Lonchura striata: one gene and its partners. The protein of the gene in region 1 interacts with the protein of each later gene in a biochemical or structural test. Links are inferred from orthologs where the notes say so. Each region holds a gene or a part of one and is shown in the gene's direction. Other genes may lie near its edges.

Region 1 (7,059 bases):
TAGCACACAAGATCACTTAGGAAAACCTGCTGGTGTGGTTTAGACTGGAATTTAGCTTGTGGTTTAAAAACAACTATTATTAAAAGCTTGCTCCAGTTGGAGGGCTTGAAATCACTGCTCCTTCCTCCGCTGCAGGGTCTTCATATCATTTCTCCAAAGCAAAGCTGCCAGGAGAAACCCCTGGAGATCAAGTGCAGTGCCTGCCTTTGTTTGTTGGAGAGGAAACTGCCTTGCACTTAGTTAAGTAATCAGCTGCAGTTTGATAGAGTAAGGTCCCTTCAATAAACCTGGAAGTGTTTCCATGAAGAGAGAACAGCAGGCAAATTCTGCAGGGAACAAGGTCAGGCATTCTGCTCGAGGACATGGGTTTGTCCAGCTCCGAAGGCAATAAAACAGGCATTGATGGGCTTCCCTCAGCCCAGGCCTGTACCAGGCAGCTCCACAGGCACATGAACTGCCATTGTTTGCACCAGCCCTGGGGGCCACTGCACTCACACACAGAGGTTTATGGTGCCTTAAAGAGCCTTAAACCATAAACACAGCAACAAATGCCACGGCCCAAACACCGCTGAACTGTGACAGCAAATGTCTCTGCATGGCCATGCTGAAAGAGCTACTTCGGCTTAAACTCTAACAAGAAGGAAATTATATATCTGAGAGGCTACATGGCTAGAAAGATTAAATCTGCAGGACAGATTTCAATACACAAACTGGAGTTTAAATTGGTTTTCTGCGACCCACGCATAAATGAAGTTAGTTTATGTTCACAGTTGTGATGATGACCATAGAATCATAAAATAGTTTGGGTTGGAAGGGACTTTTAAAGGCAATCCAGCCCAACCCCTCTGCAATGACACCTTCAACCAGGCCAGGTTGCTCAGAGCCCCATCCAACCTGACCTTTAATATTTGCAGGAATAGGGTGTCACCACCTCTCTGGGCAACCTGTGCCAGTGCCTCACCACCCTTATGGTAAAAAACTTCTTTCTGATATCTCATCCAAACTGACAGTCCTTCAGTTTAAAGTCATTGCCCCTTGTGCTAATGCAACAGGCCCTGCTAAAAAGTTTGTTCCATTTTTCTTACAGCAGGGGTGCTCCAGCATCTTTGTGGTCTCCTCTGGATTTATTCCAACAGCTCCATGTCCTTCCCGTGCTGGGACCCTGGAGCTGGATGCAGATCTGCAGGTGGGGTCTCACCAGACTGCAGCAGAGGGGCAGAATCACCTCCCTTGACCTGTTGAGAAAAACCGTCAAGAACTCCTTCCAGGTACTAAAGGTAGCAATGCCTGTGTGCTGAGCATCAAAAACCAACCTGGGTATTAAACATCATTTTTGCAATATTACATGGATGGAAAAACCAAGCTAAGAGCTGGACAGTGCCAGTAAGTTTCACTGAAACAATAAGCAATTGGCCCAGAAAGGCAGGAAACCATGTGCCTTACGAGAAGGGGAGCATTTTGTGTGAGCATGCGTTGTGTGCCTGGTGTGCCAAGGCTTTGGCAGTGGAACACCAGCCCCAGGATATCAGTGAAATGCAGGAGCCAGGAGAAAGCCTCCATTCTGCTGCAGAATTGATGGAGGAGGAGGGCCCCGCCTGCCCTGATCCATGGTGTTTTACTGGAAGTCAAAAAATGCAGGAAACCCAGCTCTGGATTTTTTTTTTTCCAACAGGGAATTTTTTTTTTCTCAGGCTGCAGCCTTCCCATCTGAAAGACGTCTGAAGTTTTTCCACTTCTCAATCTCTGCTAAAGCCCGGTCCAGAGCAGAGGTGGATACACCAGGAAGCTGCTTTTCCACTTCATATTTCCACTAAAATTTCTTGTTATTACAAAAGAGCACTTGATTCAGCAGCACCACTTCACAGCTCTTTTATAAATAGATGCATTGCCTCTGCCCTGAGGAGCTCACAGCCTACACGAGACAGGCAAAATTCAGCAAATCAGGAAAAAGAGGATGAGCAGAAGTGATGAAAGAAGAGAAGTTGCTTGGAGGTCTGTAGCTGGCTAAGGAATGAAAGCTTTGTGGAATCCAGCTCCATGTTTTCATCCCTCAGCAGATTCAGGTTGGAACAACCCACCAAATGAATGAGTGCAACAGTAATCTCTGTCGTTTGAGAGACTCAAAATGCTGAGTTCATTAAAAGAAAAAAATAATGCCAAATTTATGAGACCTGGAGACTATTAGTGAATGAGAGATCTGGGTTTAAAAATATGGAAATGCATTTTTCATGGCAGAACTGGAAAATTAAAATGTAGTACTCCTCTCTCTATGCTCACGTGGCCACTAGTGGTCTTGCCAGTGAACATGTTAAATTTTAATTCTGATCAGAGCCTGTGGTTATTCTTAAAGAACAAGGCACATTGTGGACCTAATCCTACCCCAGTGGTCTAAAGCAGTAAGAGTTTTAGCATTGCCTTCAGGGAGAGGATTTTCAGCCCAGAATAAGAGAATCCAAAAGATGGTTCTGAATTTAAATGCATGTGGTAAAATTAAGTGTAAAAGCCTCTTTTTGTAGTTGGTGCCTGGCTCAGATCCATTTTTAACATGCTGTTAGCTATCAGAAATATGACACTGGCTACCCGGGTGCCTGCTCTGGGGTAAAACCTGTTTTTAATTGCTATATAAACTCCTTCTATAACATGGTTAAAAGATCACAGAGACAGTTCCGAGCAGTAATTAAGGCATATTTAGCAAATATTAAAAACGGCTCAGCAGGGGAATGTTTAACACAGACAAGCAGGAAAACAAACAGCTTTTCACTTGGAGCTTCTGCCTTATGACAGAGCTGTGGAGTGCCCATACAGCAGTGAGCGAGATGGGGCTGGGGGCTTTTGTAAAGACAAAAAAGAGTGAAGGAAGGAGCTGGTGTCCTCCATTAGAGCACGAGTGAAAGCACTGTGGTCAGACCCTGCCTTTGGCAGTGGCCCTCCACAAAGCCTGGTTCACCAGAGGCATCTCAGGAATTTGTCCTAATAAACTAAAAATACATGTAACTGATGTTCTTTGACCCACAGAAGGGCCTGACATCAAGCCACAAGAAGAACAGTGACCAGCAAAGGATGAAACCTGATACTCAGATTCCAAGTCAGTTCTCCTGATGGTTACAGTCCTGCATTGCAATAGTGAGATGCTCTTTTATTTCTTTTCATGTTGGGGAATGCAAATAATCCTCAAACTATGAACCATTTAAATGTATATATATTAGAGAGCGACATCAGCCTTCCTGAGTGCATGGTGCCACTCAGCCTTGTATTCCTCACTCTTAAATTTTAATTTCTTTTCCTCGATGACCAGATGTACTCCTGAGTGCATCCAGATAAAAAAGCTCCGGGTGTGGAGCCTTAAACCATAGGATGAGCGTGCAGGACATCTCCATCAGAGTGTCGGACATATCCACGAACGCTGGAACTGCGGTGTGGAGCAGAGAATTGCCCATCCTCGGGGGCTGCGAGCATACCAGGCCTCCAGATCCCCCACACCCACACGCTATTTTTAAACACGGAATGTGCATCCCTGCAGCGCCCGGGCCGGGCCCCGCTCTGGATCCCCTCACGGCAGGAGCGGGGCCCGGCCCCTCGGGCACAGGGACCCGGGAAACGCCAGCACATGATTGACAGCCGCTCGACCAATAGGAGCAGCGGATCCGCAGCGGGCAGCCAATCGCTGCCCTCACTCCTCTTAAACAGACACCCGCTCCCGCCCTGTGCCTGAGGGCGGGGACGGTGCTCCCAGCCGCCATCTTGTGTGTGGCATCTCCCGCCCTTTCCTTAGGGGCTCCTCCTCTATCCTTCGCTTTGCGGTCCTCCTTTACCGGCCCGTCCCCTGAGGCCGGTGGTGATAACCGAGAAAACCGTGGCGTAGTCGCCTTCTGGCGGCGGGCGGGGTGTCGCCGCGCCACGCTCAAGATGGCGGCGGGCGGCGCCCCGCCGCGGCGGGCGGGGCGCGCGCGGGTGACGTTCGCGCTCCGGGCATGGGCAGGTGCAGGAGGTGGCGGCGGCCGGAGTTGGGCCGGCGGTAGCGGCGGGAGAGGAGGAGGCGGAGGAGGAGGGGGCTCGGACTCGGCCGCGGTTCGGGGACAGCCGGGACACCGCAGCGCCTCCTCTCCGCTCCCTCAGCCCTCGGGGACGCTCCCCCTCGCGGCGCGGAGGGCGGCGGGCGCGGCGCGGCCATGGCCGAGGAGCCCAGCGCGCTGCCCTGGTCCATCAACAAGGATGACTACGAGCTGCAGGAGGTCATCGGTGAGCGGTCACTGGGGTTTGGGGCGGTGCAGGGTGCCCCGCGGATGTGGGAGTGTGGGTTCGCTGAGGGAAGCGGGGGTCCGATCCCCTCGGCTGAGGGGTATCCTGTCACACACCGCGCAAAGGAGTGGGACTGTGCGGCTTCCCCCTCCCTCAGCCATGTGAGGGTGTGAAGGGTCCGTTCCTCCACGCTGTGTGAAGGTCTGTGGGACCCCTCAACTGAGGGGGATGTCTGTCTCCCCACTCTGAGGGGTATGAGGGTCTGGGGTGTCTCTCGGTTGGAGGGGTCCCGTCGCACACACCCGGTCACGGACTGGGGCTGTGTGACCACCCCCCTCCTCCAGCCACGTATGTAGGAAGGATGTGAGAGGTTCTGTCCCCCCGCCTTGCGGGGGACTCTGAGGGTCTGTGGGACCCCTCTGCTGAGGCTGCTGCCCCTCCTCATCTGTGTGTGTGGCCCACGGGAGGGGATGTGGGGCTGCCCCATCCCAGGAGAGGATTGTGGTGGTCGCGGGGATGCCCCCCTGGCAGGGGCTCCTCCCTGGGCAGGGTTTGTGTCTCCTGGTGTCGGGGGGAGAGGGACGGGATCCGCTCTGGGGGGCTTCGCTTCCCATCACGGTGTGGTCTGGGATGTGCTGGGCTTGAGGTGCTCAGCGGGAGTTAATCCAGAGCTTGCGTGGACTCTCCTTCCAGGGCAGCCCGGTTCATTTTGGGGCGATCACATCTCTCAGCAGCTTCGGAGCCCCGCGCTGCTTTGGTCCCTGCGCGGAGGCTTTGGTAGAGCCGCCGAATGAACCTTTTACCCTGGGATTTTGCTGCTGCCGTGCGTTTTCATTCATTGTCCTCAGCTCGAGGCCCCAGTCCTTGCTCTCTCCATTAAATTATTATTTTTTTTTTTTCACTCTCTCTTGGCGTTAAACTGCCCAGTTACCAAAGGCCTCCCGCTGTACTGATTTATTGGCTGTCTCGACCATTTTGTCAGGGTGTGTTTGAGGGATATATTGCTCTAGGGTGAGTGTGTGACATTATCGGAGGTGGTGCCACAGGTGACTAAGGTCGGTGCCTCCCGTCTCACCCTCCGGAGACTTGGAATGAAGCAGGAGAGTGGCAGGGCAGGCTCCAGGCCAAAGGGTTTTAGGAAGGAGATTAATTCTTTGGGTAATCTTTGTGGAGTGCTTTTATTTGAAGTTTCTGGATGACGTAGCACTGTCATGCCCAGGCTTTCCACTGTGCCTCGTGGGGAGGCTTGTTTTCTGTTGAGGGTGGGAGAGTTTGTGAAAATGCTGTTTTAAGAGATTAAATTCTTACCATTGTTTAAAAGTAGGAAGGAACTAAAGCTGTGGAGAGGGGGAGATCCTTCTGGAAATCCCTTTTGCTCTGTGGGATCAGGCTTTGTCCTCTCCCTCTGCCTTGAGAGACCAGCAGCGCTGTAGGAAGAAGACCAGCTCCCTGTAAAGACAGGGAAGATGTAATCCTGCAGACCAACCTTTTAAAGCTCTGGAAAATGTGCCCCGGGGAGGAGGATGTTCAGCCTCCCCAAGGAGCAGGAGATACAGGTGTGAGGAGGAAGGGGGAGAAAATGCCACCAGTTTCCTGGGGAAAGAAAACTGAATTTTTCAGAGGAAATATTTCCTTTTCTTTTGAGAGCCTGCAAAGGGGTGTGTTTTGATGGCAAAAGCAAGGATTTGGACTTGAGTAATCAAGGATAGGAGTGAATGCCTCTTTGTAGCTGGGGAGCAGGGAGGGATGGAACAAAAGGGAATGTAAATACACTTCTGCTCTTGGGAGAACTTGCTGCTGGAGACACACATCCCACAGCCTCGGAGTACTGGGAGACACACAGAGATGTGTTGTCTCATGTTAACTGACAGGTCTTGGGAAGAAATCTGGAAAAAGTGTTTAATTACTTATCTTTTCCCTGTCCCTCTGCAGACTGAGTTTCTGGATGTCGCCTGCTCACTGAAAGGTTGTGTTGGCATTTTGGCACGTGATGGAGTGTACACTGAGATGTGTATATTGCAAACATATGGTTTCTCTTTTTAACTTTCCTGTCCCCTGCCCCCCCTTTACTCTTTTCAAACACTGGTGTGTCTGCCAGCGGCCTGGATGGAGATGTGACGCAAGTTTCCTAGCACGTATATGATTTGTGGGACAAAATGTCACTGTGTTAACTGAGCTGGACTGCCTTGCCTCCTGCTTCATGTCTCCTGTAAACCTCAAGGGTTTTTTGGTTGGGTTTTTTTTTTTTTTTTGAGCTCTCTTTATAACTGAAGAGCTGTAAAGGTTCTTCAGCACGGAACTAAGAGACGTTCTGGTGTGGAAAGAGATGAACCTTGTACCAGTGGTTTTAAAGGATTTAACTTGCTTCCTGATGAAATAAAAAAAACCAAACCAAAACATTAGTCTTAAAATTTACAGTAAATTTTGAGATTAGCAACTCAGCTGTTTTTTGGAATAATGGAAATCTGTTTGTAGTCCAGTTCTTTAATTTGTACTTGTACTTGAATTTGTTTTTGCTTGAAAATAGCCATGTCTGGCTTTTATTGGATGTGGATGGTTCCATACCACTCAAGTGCAGGAATAGAAAAAGCAAGTTTCCGATCTGCAAAGAGAACTTCTACTGTAAAAGTGCTCCCCTGATTCTGGCTAATACTATATATAAATAAAAAAGGATTATTCAGCACTGGGGATGACTCATGCCATTATAAAGGTGTGGATTAAAATCCATGTTGATTATGCTTGGTTAATATTAATAACTGCTGAGTAGCCTCCTTAGGCTTAAATAACTTTTGGTACACTGAATCAAGGAACTTCGATCAG
Region 2 (7,866 bases), on another chromosome or scaffold:
TCTATTCTAGTAGCTAGAATGGGGGTGGATGGGTGGGTGAAAGGGAAATGTATGTTTCAAGCTGATGAAGAAGCACATGCTCTGCTCCAGTTTTATGGTGCAGGGTTGTTGACATTTTCTCAAGCAATAAATAAGAAAGGTCACATAATTAACTGGATTTAGTCCTTCTTATGCAGTCTGGCTAGCTGTTTCACCAGTCCTTCAGCTACAGCTCAGACTTTGCTCAGGTGTTTCAGCTGTGGTGCACACCTGTCTTCCTGCAGAACTTGGAGACTCTCTAAGCCAGGCTAGCATAAAGAGAGATGTTTGGTTTTAAGGCCTGTAAGACTTGTAGTTCTTCCTCTTTCCAATTCCCATGGTTTCTGCTAGTGGAGAGAGCACCCAGGTTCAGAGGTTTGGGCAAGACTCACCATCCAATGCCATCTGATGGACCACCTACTGCAGAGCCTGAGGACTTAAACTGCCTATAGGTCCTAGAGATGGTTACAATGTTTTTGTAACCAACCCAACCTCCAGAGCTACTTGCAAGTACAAAACCTCACCTAAAATAAAATAAATTAAACTGGCTTACTAGAGGATAAAACAGAGCAAAACAGAATATCTGGAAAGTCTCATTCCTCAAGCATGAGGACTTGAAATATTTTATTTCATTTACTTGCAGCTCTAAGAAACACAAGTGAACACTGTGGCAGAGGCCTAGATTTAACAAATGTCAAGGCAAAAGAAGAAACTTTTTTAGAAAAACTTGTACTGTCACTGTTGTAATATGGCATTGTAGCTGCAATTTGGTAATTGGCAATAAAACTGAGATGAGGAGTTTGCTTTGCAGAGCACTTAGGTTATGGAATAAAAACATATGCATCAAAATTATGGCATAGCCTCCTGTATTGCATAATGATTGCATAAGAGAAAATAGAGAATAGCTGCTTCCCATTAAGACTTTGTCACATGGGGAGGTCATGGATGCCAACAGTGGATGAAATTTCATGGAGAAAGCAAAACTGGAAAAAAAATTTTGATTCGGTCAACTTCAAAATCACACTTCATTCAAAGTAATTTTTTTAAACTATTATTGTTCCAACCAAGACAATTGTAACTATAAAAGGCTTGACATAAGGATATTTTTATAATGTCAAGTGTAAGCCCTTTGGATTCTATCAAAAGATTGTTTAAATCTCTTTGCCTGTAATTTCTCAAGTGTAGTCAGTCTCCTTCTTTCTGTGGATTTTTCTTACAGCAAAAGGCAAAATAAATATTTTTAATTGGTTGTGGAGCTCTGGCACAGGAACTATTTTTTATATTAATTGTTTCTAAACGTAGAATACATATAGAATTTACTTTGAGCTTATTAAATCTTGCTGCGATACCGAAATTTTCCATTTAGCCTAACAGAGTTTTACAGATTAAAAGAAATAAAACTGAAGGGAAAGGAAGCCTACACTCTTTATTACAGTAATCTTTTTTTAGAATGACAAAATTAAATCAACACCCACATAAAATATAATTGCCAATATCATACCATTTCTTTTTTCAGAGTCAAAGAAGACAAAAATCCATCATTCCCACCTCCAGGTCAGCTGCTCAGCTCTTTTTTCCTGCCAAGATGATTGCTCTGCCTACCTCTGCCCAGAAGAGGAGCCAGTGTGAGGAGCTGGGTGTTAGGGACCTTGCACTGAAGACCAACCTCCCAGAATTTCAAGAGTGCTAAGGAATGTGCTGGATCAGACACTGGGGATGTGCCTTTTTACATAATTACCACAATTTTTTAGTCAAAGACCGCCTGGGGCCCCGTCTGGCTATGCTGCAGTCTCTTTTGCAAAGCTTTTGCTAACTTAACTGAGGGAAAATATATTTAAGAAGAGTGGGTGAGAGGCACTTGAGTGAGAAGGGGCAGCACGCGAGGTCTCCTGTGAGCCACATGTGCAGGTCGGTGGTTCCCAGCTGCAGCCCATCTACCTGGAGTGGGAGATCACAGGGATGTGGCTGGGCACAGACCTGGGACTGCCCGACAAACCTACTGGTGATGATGATGATGCAAGTGGAATTCACCAAGCAGCTCCATGGCCTTACACCACACTTTGATTGATCACTGCATTACCGTGGGTACATGCCGAAGGAGTTACATCAGGCATCGAATGGAGCAAGGTTTGCTATCCACTCCTGCTGGTCCTATCCAAAGGGGTGATAAAAATGCAGTGGGCAGTGGAGGAAGGCAGATCTCTGAAGGCAGCCACAGCAGAGCTGCTGGGACTGCACAGGCCAGGGGAGGGAATGGGCCTGCATTGTCAGCTCCTGCTGGAGCCCTGCTACTGTGTCCTACTGCACTTAACAGTATAAAGCCAGCATGGATACACCTGCTGCTGCTATGCACAAATTGTCTTTCTGCTGCCCAGAGACATCCACAAACACCCGCAGTCACGCCGAACCCTGATGGCGATCAGAGGAGCTGCTGGTCCTGGCAGTGCAGCAGGGATGAGGCAGATTGAATTATGAGTTAATCAGTTTTGATCCAGCCACTCTGCTGCTAATCAAATTACCCTGTTCAGCTCAGCATTGGTTTGGAGCATGTCTACTCTTGGTGCCAATGCAGTTCAAGTGGCACCCTGACAAATCCACGTTTCCAGTGAAGGCAAGCCCTAGAAGGCTTAAGCCATGCAAAAATCTTGACTGTAGAGCTGTACAACAAAACACTTCTTGTCCTCTTTATGAAGACTGTACCATTATTTTGTTTGATGTTACAAAGGCTAAAAAGGATGTACATTAAGGATGCACAGAAGGATGTATGGAAAACGGCAGTATGCTGATTACTGCGTCAAATTTTTTTTGTGAGGAACACAAGCACGTGAGAATTGCCCAGACTGATGATTTGTGGCTGGGAGCTGTGGAACTCTGTCTGAAAGGGACACTTGTGCTACTTTTTGCAGAAGGAGTTAAGGCCTCACATCAGCAACACACAACTTCCTCTAAACTGCTGGTTTAAAAGTAACATTAGAAAAACTATTTAAAACAACAGTGTGTTTGCTGAGAACATATTACTTACTCAGGGAATTTTCTTAGTTTTCTTTTTCTTCCTCAGTGTAATTTTTGCTTTGTAGCTGCCTGAAAGTCATGGCACAAAATCATTTACTCCTTCTTCAATACATTCCAGTTGACTTCAAAAGATTGCTGGCGTAAGAAGGAAAGTGCTTGGTTTTCGTTTATTCTACAAAAGAGGAACATGATATAAATAATTTAGATGACTCGTCTTTGCCAATGCCTTGTTAACCTGAAAGTTCCCAATTCATGTCAGGGTTCATGTGGGCTCTGGCTGCTGTACAGCCCAGGTTTTGTACAGCCTGGGTTCAGCTGCAGCAGCCACAAGCACGACTGAAGGGGCCACAAGATAACACTTGTGTTAAGGGCAGAGGGTGCAAATTCTTTTTCTTTTGAATAATGACATTTACAGAGCAGTTAATTGCATTTCAGGTTGCTTGGCCACTTAGTGCCTCTTCAGATGGCTTAAATGGAGCAAAACCCCAACTCTCTACTTGTTTGTATAGTACTCAGCTACATGGAGTTGCTGTTGCCCATGATTTTAAATAATTTTAGAGGCTGTTTGAAAACATGACCTCATTGCTGTCTTCAGCTTCACAGGGGGGAAGTGGAGCAGCAGGCACTGATCTCTTCCATCTGGTGACCTGTGACAGGAATGGCCTGAAGTTGGTGAAGTTTAGGTTGGATATTACAAAAAGGTTTTTCCCCCAGAGGGTGTGTGGGCACTGGAACAGCTCCCCAGGGCAGTGGCACAGCACCAGCCTGCAGAGCTCGAGGAGCATTTGGGCACCGCTCTCGGGCACACGGTGTGACTGGGGATGTGCTGTGCAGGGCAGGCAGCCGGACTCCGAGTCCCTTCCAACTCGGGATATTCTGTGAGATATATTTATCTACTTATAGACAATATCGAAATGAATACGTACATCCGAAACACTTAACGCGTGGGTGTAACACAAGACTCGAAGAAAGGAGCAGTGCAAGCAGACCTGGTGCCTTTTCACCTGCCGGGCGGGGGGAGGAAGGGGCGGCCGCGCAGGACGAGCTTCCCCACAGCACATCGGCCCCCAGGCCCTCGGCGCACGCCGGGATCCTCCTTCGTCGCTCCCTCCCCTCTCCTGTTCCTCGCTCCCTTCCTTCCTCCATCCCGGGGGAATCCACGGGCGGCTCCCCTGCCGCGGCTCGGCCGCTGGAAACTACCGCTCCCATGGTACCCCGCGCGCGGCGGGAGCGGCCACCTCCCCTCGGCGGGGGGGGTGGAGGGGACGATGCGCGCTCGGGCAGGGCGTGGCCGGCGGTGCGGCCCCTCCTCCCCCCCCCGGACCGTGTGTCGGTTCGAGCTCCCGCCGTCGCCATTTAGCGCCGAGGCGTCGCCGGGCGGCCGCGCTCGGTCCTGCCCGCCGGGCGCCACCCGGACTCGGCTCGGCGGCGGCCCCGGGGAGCGCCAGCTGCGGGCAGCGGGAGCAGTAGCAGGAGGAGAAGAAGAGGGAGGAGGAGGAGGGTTTCCGGCTCCGCGCGAGGCGGCCGCGGCTGTTGGAGAGAGCGCGGCCCGGCCGCGCGGGCGGTGGCTGCGCCTGCCGGGCGGTGGAGAGGCCGCGGCCGCCATGGGCGCCCGGGTGAGGCGGGGCTGAGCCCCCCGGACCCCTTTCCTTGCCCTGGGCCTGCCCGGGCCTCTGCCGCTCGGAAACGAGTGACTGAGCGCGGCGGCTTTGCTGGCGTGCGGGCCTGCGCCCCGCTTCCTCCTCGCGTCCCGGCCCCTTTCTCCCCCCGCTCTCTCTCCATCGCCGGGGGTAACTGCAACCGGCGAGCTACCGGCGCTTCCCCGCTCGGGGGCCTCCCCGGTGCTCGGGCTTTCCTTTCTCTCGCCGTCCGCCACTCCAACCCAGCGCCCCGTGTCTGCTCCCGGTGCTCCATGTCGGCCCAGCTGCCCTGCTCCCCGCTGCAGGATGGATGCACACGCTGACCGGGGACCCACCCCGCCGGCCCAGCCTCCCAGCTCCGCCGAGAGGAGCCCTTGGGACCCTCCTCTGTTGCAGCTGCAACGGCAGCCGCGGCCGGGCGCGCTCCCCGCTCAGTGACCGGCCCTTCTCTCGCCTGCCGCCGCCGCCTCGCCACAGCCGCGCTCCCCCGGGGCACCATGTCGGCGGACGCCGCCGGCAGCGGCCCCCCGAGCCCGCGCTTCCTGGTGCCGCCGCCGCCGCCGCCCAGGAACGGTTCCAGCTCGGACAGCTCTGTCGGGACCTCCGGCACCGGTGGAGCGGGCGGTGGACCGGGGAACGAAGGCCGCAGTGAGGAGTACCGGCGCCGCCGCCACACCATGGACAAGGACAGCCGAGGGGCGGCAGCCACTGAGCACCGCTTCTTCCGCCGGAGTGTGATCTGCGACTCCAACGCCACGGCCTTGGAGCTGCCCAGCTTGCAGCCCGCAGCGCCCTCGGTCCCTGTCTCGGGAGGCAGCGCGGCTCCCTCGGTGTTCCCTCCCTCGGGTGCCGGCCGGACCCCTTACGCTCCTGTCACTGTCTCCGAGGCCGACTCGCGGCCGCCGCCGCCCGCCCCGCTCCCCCTGGAAGGACAGGCTGCCGAGGAGCCCCCGGCCGCCAAGGATGCCGCCCCGCTGCTGCCCAAGGAGGAGGAGGAGGGGGATGAGGCAACTGCGCTACCCCCTACCAGTGTCGCTGGCAGCCTGTCTGCTGCCAGCCGGGAATTTGAGGAGCGGAGAACGCAGCAGGAAGACATTGAAGAGCTTGAGACCAAGGCAGTGGGCATCTCCCCGGATGGGCGCTTCCTGAAGTTTGACATCGAGATTGGAAGAGGCTCTTTCAAAACTGTCTATAAAGGACTGGATACTGAAACCACTGTGGAAGTTGCCTGGTGCGAGCTACAGGTAAAATAAATAAATAAAAAAAGTGAATTATCACACCACAGTCACTCTCCCAGGTGCTAGTCATTGTGCTTGAAGGGGATAAAACCCATCAGCTCGAGATCTTCTTGATTCAGAAAGAGCTGCAAACCTTACCTGAGGAAGTCCTTTGAAAAAAAGGTGCATCCTTTCCATAGAGGCAGTTTGCCTTTTAATTATTTTAAATACTCTCTGAAGAGTCTTTTAGCTTTATCATTGCAGAACATGCTACAGTTCTGTTTCGTATAGTGTCTTGCATTTTATGCCTTTGAAAGGAGGATTGTAAAATCACTTGTGTACAGCTTCAAGGAGGCTGAGGGAAGATGGGCAAGTGAATGTCGACTTGAGCTACCCTTAACGTTTCAGAATTTGTTTAGGTGTTTTTCTTAGGAAGAAATGTGAAAACATTAATTTCACAGTCATTTCATTGGTAGTGGCAGTGGATTCTTGTGGGATAGATGACTCTAGAACGTACACAAGTCATGCAGTGTATCACACGATTTAGTTTTGCAAAGTTTTATTCATTTCAACTTCCAGGGTTCATATTTGTTAACAGGGACAGGGAAAGAAATTATCCTTCCAAAGCTTTAGAAAGCACCCAAAAGTTTAGCCTTTCTAGATGGCTGGTGGATTAAATTGGACTAAGACACCGCTCTTTTATCAAGTTTCTAGACTGAGCAGAGCCAGAGTTCTGTAGGAGCCCAGTCTAAGGATGGCAAGAACACCCTTGGTTCCCTGCGAGTCACAGCTTGTGCAACAGACACAGGTTGCTGTGCAACAGCCTGGAAAAAAGTGGGAAGAGCTGGGAGTACCAGGAACAAATACCTGGTGTGCTGGTTTGTTTTCAAAGCCTCAGAGTTAAGTAAAAAGTGTTAGTGTTTGTTTTTTAGTATTGGGTTTTGGTGCAATTCATAGAAGGGCTCATGTAGTAGATCTTTATTATTGTTTAGGGCAGACAAGAGAGCATTGGGTGAAAGTCCCAAAACTCTTTGTGGAGTTTTTGAGCAGTCAGTGGCTCACAAATGATCAATTGCAGTAACTGCACCAGAACTTTCTCAAAAGCATTTGTTTATTTGTTTCAGTCAAGCTGAGGGAATTTATTAAAAGATTTCTTAATTTGAATTCATAGTTGCTTTTGGATGGTTGCTCAAGCATTCTACCAGTATCTTGGTTCATTATGCTATTGCCATTATTCTGTGCTTACTAACTGTGGAAGAAAGCTTCCAGTTTTCTTTGTGACCCTTCAGCATGCCCTGCTCCTCCACGCTAGCTACATACTTGCTGTGGTGGCCTGTTTCAGCATTGATTTTAAATTGAAAGTAAAATGATCAAGTGTTGGCTCTGCTGAAGCTTTACTTGTGCAGTTTGAATTGTGAGGAGATAAATAATCTGTCAAAATTACATTATTTTTATTTGAAATTTTAATCTTTTGAATTTTTGAGTTCTGTGACTATTCTCTGAAGATTGTTTTAATCTTCACACTTACTGATCAGAAACTAATGGCAGCTTGGCATCCGTTGCTTTTCACTAATGTTGCCTCTTGAGGTGTGTTAATCATCATCAGTACCATGTGGACAAACTATCTGAAGAAACACCACTTTTGAAGGAATTTATTAGCGAAGCTCATTTTTAAAGGGCGTGTTGCTGGGCTTTCAATTGGTTTCTGAATTTCATTAATTGACAAGTTGCAAAAAGCATGAATGAGAATATTTGCAAGGGGGAAATACTTGATGTGCTGCTCAGAGGGGAACTGCATTGCAGGAGTGCCGTGTGGGTTAAGTTAAGCCAGATTCCAGAGGCTGTTTTTCCTCTCAGGAGACAGTATGAAGTGAGAAGTTTAAACCAGCTTTTTAAAATTTACATTTTCTAATTGTTAAAAGTATTTGCTGAAGGAGCTAGACTCTACAGCTAGTAGAATATTTTAAGATTGAATCCTA
Region 3 (6,912 bases), on another chromosome or scaffold:
GTGTGGGCACATTGCTCTGGAACTGTGGCAGGAGCCCAGGCTTCCTCTCCATGCCAGGCTCAGCAGTGCTGTGGGGGAATTCCTGAGTGCCAGCACTTCTGTGCTGAACAAAGGCACCAGCAATGCTCCTGAGTCACTGACATGATGGGCTGGTGGGGTCTCCTTTCTGAGGACCATCACCCCTGGGAGCTCTGTCATGGTCCTGCCACTGAGGGTTCTGAGCAAACCCAGCAGCAGAGGCTGTGCCATGAGCCCTGCAGTGCATCTGTCCCCACAAAACTGGCACAGCCTCTGCTTGATCAGGGATCATCCTCTCTGTCTGCAGCCACCAAAGTCTCTGTGTAGGATTCATGTGCTCCCAGTGTCTGCCCTGGGTTTGTTTCCATGTCCAAGATCTGCCTCTGCTTTCCTCCCCATGCCACCTGCATTGCCCCTTCCCTCCCTGGCTGCTCCTGTAGCCCTGCAGGGAGCCAGGGTGCTGTGCCTGAAGGTGTCTGCCTTTGATCCCAAACAATGATCCTTCAGCAGCCGGGCTGGAGTGTCTGTTCTCACTGCCTGTGTGCACGATGCTGACCTCCCAGCACTGTGTTCCAGGCTGGGAGTGCTGTATGTAACCTGGCTGTCCTTGAGGGAGTCTGTGTTCTTAATTAAATTTGCTCCCTTCTTAGGAAATGGCTGATGTGACATTAGATAAGCCTAAAACCAGCTTTTCATTCCAAGGCACTCCTGGCAGCAATTCCCGTCTCTTTTTCAGCTTCCTATTTAGTTGCTTACTTAGTTGGGGGGGGGGAGAAGGAGGAGGAAGAGTACGTCCCCTTTCCAGAGTGGACATTGTATAAAATTCCTTTTCCACACCCTCTGCTCTGGTTACCAGAGGCCACATCCAGCCATGCCTGTGAGGACCTGTGGGATCAGCTTCCCTGGGCTGGGCAGGGCTGCTGCAGAGAGGTGTCCCTGCTGAGGCCAGGGTGTCCCTGCTGAGGCCAGGGTGTCCCTGCTGAGGCCGTGGGATGGGTCCTGAGAGTGGCAGAGCTGCTGCCAGCCTGGAGGGAGCAGATGTCCCTCTGTGAAGTGCTGTCCAGCCCAGCCACACAGCCCTGGGGAGGGGCTCGCTGGAGGAGGTGGCTCAGGGTGGTTTTGGGGGGGTGGGGGTGGCTAGTACAACCCCCCCCTCCAGCCTGTGGCCCCTCAGAGGCCCTTGCCACATCTGGCCACGGTGATTAGGGCTCGCTGGCCAGGGTGAGGCAGAGCTCAGAGGGGCTGGTGCCAAGATAAGGCACTATCAGGCTGGGCACACTCAGATCCCACTGGTCAAGGAGGAAAGATTCTGAGAAAGATTTTCTTTAATGCAGCTGCTTAGGAGCAGGAACTGTTTCAGTTTGATAACTTTATATGTTGGGAAAAACGTGCAGGCAGGTCCCATCTGTGCCTCTGGGCTGAGGAAATCCTCTGCAGTGATCTGCCCAGGGTTACAGCCACAGCTGAGGTTTCAGTGCCATCGCTGCCTCCCTGAACTCACATGAGTTAGAGTGAGAGAGAGAAGGTCCCGTGGGTATGGGGTGGTGAAGGTAACAGTGAAATAAGCCCTGGGTGTCCCTGGAGCATCCCAGGACAGGCACCCTGTGCTCTGCAGCCCCAGCTGTGCATCCCCTTTGTCCAGACCCATCCTGGCCCCTCTGTGATCCTGCCCCAAGCTCTGGGGTCAGAATGGACAATTCCTGGCAGGGCTTGGCGGAGCCTGGAGCTGAGCAGGGCTTTGATTCATGATCTAATTCTGAGGAGGGTGATTACACAGTGCCTTGTACTCCTGGCAGCCAAATGTAGGCGAGAAATGGGTTATGTTCCCTGATTGTGGCGGTTCCTCAAAGTGAAGCCTGGCACTGGCACCTGCAGCCCAGAAATGTCACCCTGATAATGCTGGGGAGCTGCAGTGGGCGCCTGATTGTGGAACAGGAGCCTTCTGGTTTCAGGCCAAGCTGGCTGCAGATTGGTGTTCCTGGCCAGGTCAGGAGAGGATCTGTTCCCCTGCCCGAGCTGCCACCTCTCTACCAACTTCTGGTGTGGAGTGGCATTTGGAGAGATCATTTAGGGAATTTCTCAGACCACTCACAAGGGAGGTGTGGGAGGGGAGCACTTGGAGCAAACTTCTCCCCTAATTTCCTCCCCTGTCTGCAGGGGCCTCACTGGACCGGGATACTCCCCTGCTCCTCTGGGATCTTCCAAGGCATTTTGTTTCACGATGGAAACCCTTGATAAGGAGATATGAGCCTGCCGGGGACAAACTGAGGTCCCTGCCTGGCTCTGTGTCTCCTGTTGGAGAAGCAGGGCTCCCTGCCAGCCTGAGCAGTGCATGGGCCCTGGCAGGGACCTCTGTGTGGGGGCAGCCAGAGTCAACCAAGAGGGCCTCGAGCAGCTTGCCCCACTGTCTGGCCATGCTCAGAAGGTTCTGGGTAAGGCTCACCTGAACAAAGAGCATTGTTTAACAGAGCTGAGCCAAGCCATGTTGCATCTTACAACCCAAGAGTCACCCATGGCAGGGCCAGTGCAAGCACTGCACCTGTGGCCTCTCAGTCTTGGCTTTTTGGCTCCAGTGGCCACGGGCTCCCGGTGCCCCAGCAGCAGGCACAGCCCTGCAGGGGCTGGACACGGTGTTCTGCCAGCGCTGCTTCTTCACCTGGGACCAAGCCCCTGACATGCTCCAAGGAGTGCAGGGCTGAGTCGGGATGTGGTTGCTGCTCCCTGCTCTCCGGCCAGTTCTGCTCCAGCAGCTCTTGGCAGGGTGGCATCGATCAAACTCCTTGTTGGGAAGGAGGTACCTGTCTCCTGGGGCAGGAGGAGGTGGGTCGGGTGGGGTTAGCAGAGCAGAGATCAGCGAGACGCAGGTCGGCCAGGAACATTTCATTAAATACTTGTCCCTCCCTCTTGTCCCCGCCCCAGCGGGGATTTGTGGGGAGCAGCCGTGCGGGACGTGGCCACAGCCGAGCTGCTGACCGCAGTCACCCGGCATCACCCTGCGGGTGCCAGCTTGGCGTTTGGGAGACCACGACTGCGTTCCCTTTTCGATCCACTCCTTAATGTTTCCGGTATCGTTGAGTAGAAACAATCTGGCCTCAGGGAAAAGAAATCTGCGGTGGCCTCAATTGCTTTGTGTTTTATGTAAACAGCCTCACCGGCAGAACAACCTTCTCCTTCAGCCTGGAGAGACAACACGCTCTTGTCCGGCTGTTGGCTCCCGCGGGGCTGACACACACCTTCGACTCTTCCTATTTGCGTGACCCTAATTTCAGGATTTCGGACCGCAGTGAACCCGAGCGGGATTGTCTGGGGGGGAACCGGCGTCCCGGCAGCGGCTCTCCGCTGCTCCAGCACACGCTGCTCCGGGTCCAGGCTCAGAAACTCCGAGGAAATGTCTGAACCGGGGACATTCCTGCGTTAGTCACAGCAGCCCCGGAGCCCCGCGGGGGCGGCGGCAGGGACGGGGCTGTCCTGCGGGGAGGGGACTGCGAGGAGCCCCGGGGACAGCGCGGACCCGGTGGGCGCCAGGCGGTGACCCCCGGCTGGGAGGGGACATCCCGGGTGCTCGGGAGCGGTGCCGGGGCGCGGGGCCCCGCTCGCAGCCCGTGTCCGCAGCTGCAGCTGGGCGCCGTCCCGGGGCCGTGCCCGGTGCGGTGCCGGTGCGGTGCCCCTGCCCGGCGCGGGGCCGGTGGCGCAGCGCGGGCGGGGGGCGGCGGTCGCTCGGGGGCGGACCCGGGCGGGGCGGGGGCGGTGCCGCCGGGCGGGGCGGCGGCGGTGCCGGGGCCGGTGCCCGGAGCGGGTCTCGGCGGTCGCTGCTGGCTGCGGGGTGTCGGAGGCCACGGGTGCGAAGCTGCGCGGGAGCGGCCGCTCCCACCGGGCCGGAGCCGATGCTGGCGGCCGAGCCCGCCGCTGCCGGAGCCATGTCCCATCCCGAGGCGGAGCGGGCGGACAGCGGCTCCGCGCCGCAGCCGGAGCCGGAGCCGGCTCCGGGGCTCACCGGACGGGCCCCGCACCGTAACCGCAGCCGGCGGTCCTCGGGGCGCGATTCCCGACGTGCTTCCTCCCGCTTCAACCGGCGGAGCTCGGCCGAGCTGGAGCTGCTGGGGTACCCGGCGCCGGACGGGGAGCGCGGGGGGTCGCCGCCGCCGCCGCCGGCCGCTGCCGGGCTCCGGGAACCCGAGGAGACGGAGAGCGAGGAGGTGGAGACGCGGGCGGTCGCCACCTCCCCCGACGGCCGGTTCCTCAAGTTCGACATCGAGATCGGCCGCGGCTCCTTCAAGACCGTCTACAAGGGGCTGGACACGGAGACCACCGTGGAGGTGGCCTGGTGCGAGCTGCAGGTACGGCCCCTGCCAGCGCCTCCGCCCCTGTCTGCCCGCACCCACAGACCCCCGCCCCGGGGCAAGGGGCTGGAGAGAGGCACCTGGACCCTCTTCTGTCCAGTTTCCATGTGCAGCCCTCCCCGGCCCTGACCCTGCTGCTGTGTGGGACCCGCGGGGCGCTTCCCGGGCTGGAGCCTGTACCGGCGAGGGCGGGCACCCTCGAGCCTCTGCTTCTGCCCTGCGCTGTGCCCATCACTGCCCGTGCCTCGGTGCTTCGTGGGTCTGCTGGCCCGCACGCAGACTCCTGCCTGCTTAGTGCCGCCGCTCCTGGCCCTCCTGCCCATCACGTGCTGTTTTCCATTTGCTTTCTTGCTGCCTGCACTATGGAGCATGTGCCCACGTTCTTGATGCCAGTCCCTGCTCTGGCACTTAACAGGTGGATCTGGGGCTGAGCATCCATCCCACTGTCTTTCCGATGCTCAGCAGCTCGCAGCTTTCCCTCCAGGAGGACAGCGAGGGCAGCAGTGCCCTCTCTGCATGCCTGCCTGTGCTTGTGCTGGAGCTGCCTCCAAGGTTTGCTCCGATAGCCCTTGGTGTGCCCTGGGGCAGCGAGCTGGGGCTGGCTGTCAGCTGGGAACAGGGTACAACACGACCTTGGTGCTTTCTGCCTGCTTGACCTTGGCTGAAGTCGTGTACATGGCCACCTGTGAGTGGTTTCTGTGATGTTGCCAGGGGATGGCAGGATACTGGAAGAGCTGGACCTGTGGTTCCAGGTCTCTGAGGAGCATCCCTGTTCTCCTCTCTGCTGCCACACTCCTCCATCTCCTTGGCTGTCCTGCAGCCTGACAGCAGCATGCTGAGAGCAGTGGTGATAGTGTTGCCTCCACAATGCCTTTGCTCACTCAAGTGCTTTTGATGGGCCTGATCTTGTCCATGGAGGTGCACAGGGAGATCTGTGCTGTGGGGCTGCCTTTTCTCCTTGGAGCACCCGGGGAGGGGTTTTGGTGAAGTCCAAAGTCTCCCTCAGGCTCCTGAGCCTGGGATGGCTGCTGTGGTGGGAAGGTCCAAGTCCTTGTTGACACAGAAAAACGTGTCTTTCGAGTTTGTTGTCTTGTTCCTAAAAGCTCAGTGCAATTGCAGGTGGCTGCCAGGGCTGGGTCCTTGGAGTGGCTGCAGCCCAGCAGAGCAAGAAGAGATCCTGAGAGACTGGTGGGTGGTTTTTAGAGGGCTGACTATGGCCTCGTAGTGAGGAAGGTGAAGATTTGCCCCTCACCCCCATGGATTCCACAATTGCTCCTGTTGTTGAGAGTTCAGTTCAGAGCCAGCTCAGTTCTCACAAAGCCTCACAGCTCTGTCCAAAGGCCCCTGAGCTCTCTTGAGTCCTACATCCCTTCAGGTGGCAACCACTGACTGGAACAGGCTCTCCTTGGTGAACTCAGGACCTTCCTCCCTGGATGAGTCAGTTGTGCCCAGCACTTCCCATCAGCTGGCTCCGTGTCCCTCCCTGTGGGTCTCAGCCCCATGGCCCAGCCGTGGCCCAGCTCCCCTGCCCTGGGGCTGGCACACAGCTGGCAGGGCTGGCAGCAGGTCTTGTTCCTGCTCCTCCCTGCAGGCAGTGCTGCTGTCTTGGAGGGGCTGCCAAGGGGATGAGCCTGCACCACTCAGGTGGAAGGGAAAAGGGAGCTGGGAAGCAAAATGCTTCCGTGTTCCAGTCCAGTGCTCCAGTCCAGCAGGCACAGGCTGGGCCCGTTGCTGGTCCTGCGAGCCAGCCAGGCAGGAGTGGCAGAACCACTCACTTGTCCCCTGGGGGTGGCTGTGGAGAGGCTGGGGTGCAGGCTGAGCTCCTGCCAGGGACCCTCCTGTGAGCATCCCATAGTGCTGGGTGCAGACCTGACCCCTCTGGTCCTGCACCCTCCCACGGGAGTGCAGTCACATCCCTGCTCCCACCCGTGCCTGCCCCTGCCCTCCCCACCCAGTGTTTGGCTGAATTCCACTGACTGCTCTTTATCCACTGTCTCTTGTACCCAAATCTGTGTCCCACAAGGGGCTAAGAGCACAGATGCAGACATTTAGAAGTTTGTTTTTTTTCTGCAATCGTGCAAAAATTGGACACTGTGACACAAATACGGGATTTGGAACCACAAATAAAAATGGTTGTGGTTCTGCTATTTTAAAAATAGCTTTGTCGTGTGCACTTCACAGTTCTCCTTCTATTACCTTTCAATTCCAAATGAGTACTTAACCTCAGGCCTGACCTGTTCTGCACCAGAGAACCTGGTTCAGTGCTGTGATGGATCCCAGTCCCCAACCCCAGCTCTCCCTGCTGTCCTTGCCCTGACCTTCCCTCCTCAGAGCTCGGGAGGCAGAGGTTGGTTTTGCCTGTCTTGTGAGACCCCTCGGGGGACCTGCCCATCCCTGTCCCCTGTCCTGAAGGCAGCGTCTGTCTGTCCCTCCCGCCCGTGTGCACAGCCCCACTGTTTGTGCTTTCCAGCTTTAGCCTGGCACTATTTCTGTCCTAGGTGCTGCGGGCGGTGGGGAAAGAGGAAGCAGGGAGGAAACCAGAGGCCCAGAGTGG

What was found.
Region 2: of the proteins of OXSR1 (region 1) and WNK1, one has a biochemical effect on the other in vitro, tested with the Homo sapiens proteins (2 studies listed by BioGRID and IntAct, with this or other methods). The link is inferred for Lonchura striata from reciprocal best matches to the Homo sapiens genes OXSR1 and WNK1.
Region 3: the proteins of OXSR1 (region 1) and WNK4 are reported together in a solved structure, tested with the Homo sapiens proteins (2 studies listed by BioGRID and IntAct, with this or other methods). The link is inferred for Lonchura striata from reciprocal best matches to the Homo sapiens genes OXSR1 and WNK4.

The regions. Positions count from the first base shown.
Region 1 is NC_134603.1:152,475,256-152,482,314, reverse strand, and holds the start of OXSR1 (serine/threonine-protein kinase OSR1), read left to right. Parts: upstream 1-3,969; 5' UTR 3,970-4,169; coding exon 4,170-4,239; intron 4,240-7,059. UniProt on the Homo sapiens protein: Effector serine/threonine-protein kinase component of the WNK-SPAK/OSR1 kinase cascade, which is involved in various processes, such as ion transport, response to hypertonic stress and blood pressure.
Region 2 is NC_134607.1:12,041,617-12,049,482, forward strand, and holds the start of WNK1 (serine/threonine-protein kinase WNK1), read left to right. Parts: upstream 1-4,813; 5' UTR 4,814-5,167; coding exon 5,168-5,914; intron 5,915-7,866. UniProt on the Homo sapiens protein: Serine/threonine-protein kinase component of the WNK1-SPAK/OSR1 kinase cascade, which acts as a key regulator of blood pressure and regulatory volume increase by promoting ion influx.
Region 3 is NC_134627.1:6,218,681-6,225,592, reverse strand, and holds the start of WNK4 (serine/threonine-protein kinase WNK4), read left to right. Parts: upstream 1-3,887; 5' UTR 3,888-3,902; coding exon 3,903-4,355; intron 4,356-6,912. UniProt on the Homo sapiens protein: Serine/threonine-protein kinase component of the WNK4-SPAK/OSR1 kinase cascade, which acts as a key regulator of ion transport in the distal nephron and blood pressure.